Linked DNA regions of Oryzias latipes. The protein of the gene in region 1 interacts with the protein of each later gene in a biochemical or structural test. Links are inferred from orthologs where the notes say so. Each region holds a gene or a part of one and is shown on either strand. Other genes may lie near its edges.

What was found.
Region 2: of the proteins of ptpn1 (region 1) and stat3, one has a biochemical effect on the other in vitro, tested with the Homo sapiens proteins (2 studies listed by BioGRID and IntAct). The link is inferred for Oryzias latipes from reciprocal best matches to the Homo sapiens genes PTPN1 and STAT3.

The regions. Positions count from the first base shown.
Region 1 is NC_019865.2:21,849,249-21,853,069, forward strand, and holds part of ptpn1 (tyrosine-protein phosphatase non-receptor type 1), read left to right. Parts: intron 1-1,524; coding exon 1,525-1,734; intron 1,735-1,858; coding exon 1,859-2,020; intron 2,021-2,108; coding exon 2,109-2,269; intron 2,270-3,821. UniProt on the Homo sapiens protein: Tyrosine-protein phosphatase which acts as a regulator of endoplasmic reticulum unfolded protein response. Mediates dephosphorylation of EIF2AK3/PERK; inactivating the protein kinase activity of EIF2AK3/PERK.
Region 2 is NC_019866.2:6,345,030-6,349,358, reverse strand, and holds the start of stat3 (signal transducer and activator of transcription 3), read left to right. Parts: upstream 1-1,284; 5' UTR 1,285-1,483; intron 1,484-3,617; 5' UTR 3,618-3,639; coding exon 3,640-3,767; intron 3,768-4,082; coding exon 4,083-4,326; intron 4,327-4,329. UniProt on the Homo sapiens protein: Signal transducer and transcription activator that mediates cellular responses to interleukins, KITLG/SCF, LEP and other growth factors. Once activated, recruits coactivators, such as NCOA1 or MED1, to the promoter region of the target gene.

The DNA.
Region 1 (3,821 bases):
AGTAAAAAGATCCTGTGCCTATTAATGATTTATCTTCAGAAAACATTTACCGGTATTCATGACTTTAGTAAACAGTTAACGGTAACATTATGTAATAATCATTGATTATTAGAACACAATATCACATTAAACCAGTAATTATTGCTACACATTCAGATCAAGTAAAGAAAATCAATAGCTTATTGATTGTAATTTAAACATTTCAGTGATCATTATTGCACATTACAATGTAATAATCATTGATTGTAATTAAAAGAGCTTTGATTATTTCACCACAATCAAGTTCAAACATTTATTTGGAATTATTCAAACACCTGTTGATCCTTAACTCTTCTTATCTTTATATCGTGAAATCAGAGTTTCTTTATACCTTTTCTTGAATATTTGAATATTTTTTTAGCTCATTACTAAACCCGTTCCAAAATTTAGTGCCACACACCGACACAGAGAAACATTTCTTTGTGATTCTTATCAATTTGATCTTGAAGTTCCTACATCCCCTCAGTCTGTAGCCTCCTTCATTTTCTAAAAACTGTTTTTGGATATTGAATGGTAACGATTTACCACTGACTCGTATAAAGGTTGCGCACTGTAAAAATCCACAAGGTCATACAGTTTTCAAAGTCTGGATTCATAAAATAAATTGTATGATCAAGATAGCCAGCTTTATGACGGCTCGTTTTTGAAGTAAAAGATGTAGTGAGCTCTTGTAATCATTCCCCAGATTTCTATACAGTAGGTGAAATATGGCAATATTAAACAGTACAATACATATCTTCAGTTTTATTGTAAAATGTATTTGGATTTACTTATAACTGAAATACTTTGTGAGACTTTAGTTTGTATGTGTCTGATGTGCAGCTTCCAACTTAGTTTGTCATCGATAACAAGCCCTAAGAACTTGTAACATCTGTAACACTTTCAATTAGGGCATTATTTATTTATTTCAACTGAGAGCTCGGTACTGGCGTTGTAGTTACCAAAAACATCACTTTGGTTTTATCTAGGTTCCAAGATAATTTGTTGTAATCCATCCATGATTTTATTTTGGTTAACTCTGTGTTTACCACATGTTCCCTATGATTGTCTGTAGAATAGAATATGTTTGTGTCATCAGCCAATAATGAGTTTCATAAGCTTTGAAACATTGAATATATCCTTTATGTATATATTGAATTGCAGCGGGCCCAGAATTGATCTTTGTGGGACACCTCAACTTATCTCAAAATGACACATGTTTTTTTGATATTGGGTCAAATGGCATATTGATAATTAAAAGACCACTGGGAACGTTTTTAAAATAGGTCAAACGATGATCTGAGTGAGACAAAATACAAAATATCTTCACTGTATTTTTTTATGCAACTGTGACCATAAAACGGAGAAATGTAATGTTTTTTTTGTGACTTTCATCTAAACTTAAATTTTAGCTTTGATGCTTTTGATTGTTGCATTTGTCTATAGTTACACAATCCCTGCTTTTGTTCGGCTGCCTAACACATCCCGCTGCTCCTCCTCCCGCAGACTCAGGAGACGCGGGAGATTCTACATTTTCACTACACCACCTGGCCAGACTTTGGGGTACCAGAATCTCCCGCCTCTTTCTTAAACTTCCTGTTCAAGGTGAGGGAGTCCGGCTGTCTGAATTCCGACCAGGGACCAGTGGTGGTGCACTGCAGCGCTGGCATTGGGCGCTCTGGGACCTTCTGTCTCGTGGACACCTGCCTCTTGTTGGTTTGTACCCAAACTTCATTTGTGATTGACATTGTTCAGGACGTTTTGAGAATTAAGAAGCTGAAGCGTGACTATAAAGATGTGGAACATGGAGGCTGACGTCCTGCATGCCTTTGCTGTTCAGATGTCTCTTCGTAAGGACCCATCCTCTGTGCGTATTCGCGACGTGCTGCTCGAGATGCGTCGCTATCGAATGGGCTTGATACAAACTGCAGATCAGCTTCGCTTTTCTTACCTGGCTGTAATAGAAGGTGCCAAGTACATCAAAGGGGATGTATCTCTGCAGGTAACTTCTTGTCGTCCTCTCCCCTGCTCAGATGTTTGCAGGCTGTTGTCAGATGCACGTCGATAACTTCAAGCATCTTGCTTTTAAGGAGTCGTGGAAAGAGCTCTCAAATGAGGAAGACGACCCTCCAGAGTTCACACCTCCCCCTCCTCTTCCTCCTCCGAGGGACCCTTACAACGGGAAAACCGGGAGGTCCTTTTTCCCTGAACATGTAGAGATCATCCCTGAGATGAGGATTCCCACTCTTGGGTAATATTTTCAACCATGTTCTGATTCTGTGAACAAAGGTTGACTTCCATGGCTGCTTTTTATTGAACAGAAATGCATTTCAATAGTGAGGTTTACTTTGAATGAGGGCTTGATACTCAAAAAGGAAGAAAACAAAACATCCTTACATCCGTCATCACAGACCTGAGCTTGTCCCCCCCCCTCAATTTAACCCTTAATGTCCATTGATAAAGTGATGGAGAAGCTGCAGACAAGATGGTGCCTGACATCATCATCCGGAAGCAGAAATTATACAACTAACCCTAACCCAAAAGTGTTTAGAGTTGGAAAAAGTAAACTTTTATTAAAGCTTAAAACAGGAAAAATGGTAACTCTTGGCGCCGCCAGTAAAATAGTTTTCTTCGAGCGATATGGGGAGACTTCTGGTTGAGGAGTTCCGGTTTTGGCAGTTGATGTCTGCAGCTAGGTCCTCTTGCACTGATGATGTTGAGAGCTTACCTTTATTTTGGAGCTGCCACTGGATGACGGCCGCTTCCAGCTGGATTTGTTTTTGATGACTTGCTGTCCCACAACAGTCCGAAGAAGGCAAAAATCTAAAATAAGAATGAAATTTGAGGATGTTTTTACTACAGTCTCGATACAAATAAAAAAAAAACATAAAGTTCAGGAGCAGCTCAACAATCAACTCCTTCCAATTTATTTGTTTGGAGGATAAGCCCCTTGAGATGTGTCATCTCGTTTTCAAGGGGGTCCTCAACATACAACAAAACAAGCAAATGCCGACAGATACAGTTGAGCAAACTTTACATATGTCAAAACAGAGAAAAACTTAAAATTTCCAAAACAACGAGCAGACACACACACATACCCACACACACACAAACATTGACATTTAATGCTCCTACTAGCAGTTAGTTTAAGGTAAGGAAACAAAAATAATAAATAAAAAGCAGAAAAGAAATCACTCCTCCATGTTGGTTTTGGACTCCAGCCGCTGTTCACATCATGAAGTCGTCACTGCCAAAGCTTCAAAATGCACCGCAGGACTTCCTATCACATCAGCACAATAACTTATCCCTGAAAGGCCCCTGCCACACAAATCTCGTTTTAGAGCTGATCGCCCTTGTCAAACCTGAAAGTCCTCATTAGGTTGTTGTAGAAGCTGTGGAACTGTAGGGCAGCTCTGGCAGAAGAAGCAGTGATGCAGAACCTCCCATCAGTGCAGCGTGACTGAAAGGAGCTGGAGCCTGTGAGGGATCTTTGCTAGAATGACGGCATGCCGATCCTTCAGCCGTCAGCTGCAAACTGCTTGCTGCACGTCATTTCGCATGTTGTAGCTTGCAGTTTGCTCAAGCAGGAGTTAATTTTGTTTTTTCAAACTGTCAATATCAAATATGCATTGATGTGCGACTTCTATTACTTCAACAGTGACGCATTTTGTAAAAAAAACAAACAAACATGAAGATCTTTTCAGGATAAGACAGTGATCCAACAGTCATGCTTTGGAATATTTGAACCTCAGACTCTGTTTCAGTATTTTGAGGTCATTTGTATTTGGAGAGCAACCAGATTC
Region 2 (4,329 bases), on another chromosome or scaffold:
GACAATGTCGACATGTGTAAACATCTTGAATTAAAAATAAGCAAAGTGTCATTGATATAGGATTTGGTCCTGCACAACCAAAACTTTCATGGTTTATTTTTCATGGAAACCAGGTGAATTTGTGTGTCTGTTTCTGAATAAAGTGTGTGCACTGCAATTTGAAAAAAAAAAGACTCTGTTCATTAATCTTGAAGAAAAAAAGTCATTTTCTCTTGAAGAAAGGAGCCAAACAAAATGAGAAAAAGCTACTGTAATTGAAATTCTGCAGCTGATAGAATAGATTCAGCCGGTGACACCTCATTTCATTAAAAGCTAAGGACACACGGCTCCAGACAGGAGCAAAGGGTGGTTCCTCTTTGTCTCCCTACAGAGTTGTGATGACCTTGATGTGATGGAGACACATAGACACTCACTCTCTGGCAGAAAACAGCATTAAAATAATCAATGGGTGGGAAAATGCAATTAGGGAGAGTGCACTCTCAGAGCAGGATGGAGAGCAGACTAAAAGAGAAATAAAAAGCATGCACAGGGGTGGAATGATGTTGGTAGAAAATAAGAATGTGTTTATTAATAAGCACATTATTTACAATGGTGGAGGCAGGAAATATGTGTTTTAAGCCTGTAAAATAATACTTTTTTTGTACATTATAGAGTTATTACTTCTAAGAATCATGTGTTTCACTACAGTACATTTGGACTTGTTTAAATTTACAGTCATAACTAACACACTAGGAATAAGGTGAATACATTGCAACAGCAATGTAAGACCTGTTTTGGTTATGTTATTTGCATTTTTAATTAAAAATAAAGAAAACTGTACAACTTTATCGTTTGTTTACATTTTAATATTCAAGCCAGCAGTCAGAGTAGTCAATTAGTCATCATTTCTTTTTTTACTCTTCTACCGTGAAAAAGGTCTGGCTATTGTGAAGCAGTATCATTATCAAATTTGATGACGTCAACGTTGCCGGTAACTCAGATGACTTCCAGGCTGGCTGTTCTCTTGAAATACCAACCCTCCCTCTGAAATAAGCGAAACACACGGGCTTCCGTATAGTTCCGCGGGAGGGAGGGTTTGCTTTGAGGAACAGCTTCGTTGCGACAGCGGTAAACAGAGAAGGCTCAACCAAACTTGCTGCTACATCCCGCCTTATCTCCATATAAAGTCGTTTATAGTTGGTATAAAAAAAATTAGCGACTCTCATTGGCGGAATGAAATGTCAACCAAGTAGATTTGGAAGTTTGTTTGGCTGGAAAGACTGCAGTTTAGTTGATGGGCTGGGCGGGGGGGTACTTGTTTCTGAAAGTGGTTTCTCGTGGTGCGAAGATTACGGTTTGCGTTACACTATATTTGGGAGCACTTTTCCTCGTTTATGACGCTCAATTTCTACTTTTTCTTCGTTAAAAAGTTGTCGCTGACGTCTTTGTGAGCTTGTGTTTTTTGTGGGAAAGAGACCAAACTGCTCCGGATCCAACGAAGGTGGTAAGTCGTGACTCAGCTGTTAACATATTATTACACTAAAAAAAAAAAAAAAAAAACAAAGAAAAATTCAAAATATTGCCATTGTATTAGTTAGTTTTCTCCAAGGATGTCGTGCTAAAGCGAAGCTAGAGCTACAGCCATAACTTAGCTACAGTCAAATGTAATATAATTCTGTGAATGCATCATGCCTAAAGTTAGTGACAGACAGACAGACATCGTGTGCCAGGGGTCTTTCTTACGTAAGTCTTTAAACTAAAGCCATCACACATTTCAATGTTAGTTGCTGAGTGACGTTAGTTAGTAATAATATCACGACCAGGACTCAAAAGTGATGACGTTTTTGTGTTTCTTTTTCGACTATCCGGTGGTTGGTGCCTTAAATTTAAATAATTTACTTGTATGGAGGTCGTTGTTTATTGTTTTTTTCCTTAGTTGTCCCGCCCATCATATTTATGAAGAAAAGTACTGTTGTTCATTCGTAGCACAAATAAGATCTGCAGGTATATTTAAGCCCCCAATAGTTCTGAAAACGTACATAGAATTACATATACATGTATAGTATAAAGCATAAATATGGCTGCATGACAATTTTCTACATAAATATCATAAAATAGCATGCATTGTTGTCCCTGAGCCATCTCGCAGTCCCAGGCTTTGTAAAAGGGAAACTTGGCATGGTGACTGTGCTCTGATGTTTAATAAGGAAGTACTTTCCTGGAATATCACTGACCTTATGTAAGGATTGTGCATTACCAGTAAGTAACCACACAGAAAAGAAAAAAAAACACTACAGCAGTTCTCTTTCTGACTTTCTTATTAATCATTCTGATGATTTCTCAAATAGCAGTGACCTGCATGGAGCTTTGAGAAAGGAAAGAAAACGATTAATCAGTGACTGTAGTGAATTTGTGCGATTTTACATACCTAGATTTCTCAACATGATGCAGCAATGTCTACTTCATATTTCATTAAAATACAAAGATCAAACAGAAAGTTTCAGTGTTGTTGTTGTTGTTGTTGTTTTACTTTTTAGTACAAGGCTTTTCTGAAAATTTGTGATAAAAGTACTCCTGTATTTTTTCATGTAAGGAGGTTCGTTACAAGATTTTGCTTGTATTGCGATTATATATTATTATATATAATTTGCTGCAAAATAACATTAAAATAGTGATAGTACCCTAAAATGAGTTTCCTGTGTTGTGTCAGATAAGCTCTGAATACTCCAGTTTCAGTTTTGCTGTTAGAATAAATAGCATAAAACATTTTTTGTTTGTCCAAATGATATTTATTGCAATGAAAGTTCATACCCTGTATATTATTACAGCTTTGATCTGTATTCTCTGGGCAGGAAGAGCATTATTTTGGCTATTGAGAAGGTCATATGTATGAGTTTATTTTTTGTTTTGCTTTTTTCAAATACAGTGCAAGCATCTAGTTCACATTAGCAGAATCAACAATACAGACACTGTTGTGAGAAAGCTTGTGTAACAATAGTCAAAGCATTGTGTGAGCTTTCGGACAGAAACTGGAGCCTGTAACCTAATATGGGTGGTACAGGACATGTCTTTCTGTTAAATGCCTTGAATGGGAGCTCAATTTGCAAACAAGGAAGCAGTAGCCATCTTTTATCAGCTGAGTCAGCCAGCAGGATGTGATCGATAAATTCAAAAACAACAAAAAGTCCCAGATCGGCAGGTGGTTAATGCTTAAAACACACGCTCGGATTTGAAGGGAAATCCTAATCTGACAGTCGCCTATCGCTTCAGAGGAAATGGTTTGTCTGGGTTTTGATCCATGCCCTCTGCATCTGAGAGGAAGAAGTTTGCTTTGTCGGTGTTTCATGCAAAAGTTGCCGGGGCAATTCTTTGACCAGAGATAAGCTTTTCAATGCTTTACAGCTGTTCACTCTGACCTATATTTTTTAGGGGAAGGCACAGTTTCAGAGAACAGGAAATGACTTTTGGCAACGCGAGGCCTCAGCATTGGCCTGTTGTCGTTTTCAGAGAAATCTGATGTTCAACCATTTCCCATTGGTGCAGTCTGATGAAGAACATTGAGCGCGGTTTTCTAAAGTATCATTTTCTGTTGATTTTCTGCCTGTTTTGTGTTGATAAAGCAGTTTCATCTCTGGCAGATTTGAGGCAGTGCTTGTCAGGATGGCTCAGTGGAACCAGTTACAGCAGCTGGAGACCAGGTATCTGGAGCAGCTCTACCACTTGTACAGCGACAGCTTTCCAATGGAGCTACGCCAGTTTCTTGCACCCTGGATTGAAAGTCAAGACTGGTAAGAAATGATTCAAGTCTTTGTTTAAAAAGTCTGCTTTTATCTGCTAGATAAAGCTGACCTTGATCTTTCAGGGCTTTTAGGTTTGCAGCTATGAAGTCATAGCTCATATAAACACTTTCTCTCACATTTTATGTTACTGCAATGCACTTTACCATGTTCAATTTGAACTTTTTGTGTTGTGATCACACACAAAAATTATAGTCTTTAAATATTTTCACAAAGTTGGGATTTCTTTTCAATAAACCTGGGAATTTTGTGTTGTTGGAATCTGGAAATCGATATGTTTTTGTGTTCCCCCCACTATTTTCTAAGGGCCTATGCTGCCAACAAAGAATCCCACGCCACCCTGGTGTTCCACAATCTCCTGGGAGAAATTGATCAGCAGTATAGCCGTTTCCTCCAGGAGAACAATGTCCTCTACCAACACAACCTGCGCAGGATAAAGCAGCATCTGCAGAGCAAGTATCTGGAGAAGCCAATGGAAATCGCCCGCATTGTCGCCCGCTGTTTATGGGAGGAACAGCGACTGCTGCAGACAGCCACCTCTACTTCCCAGGTG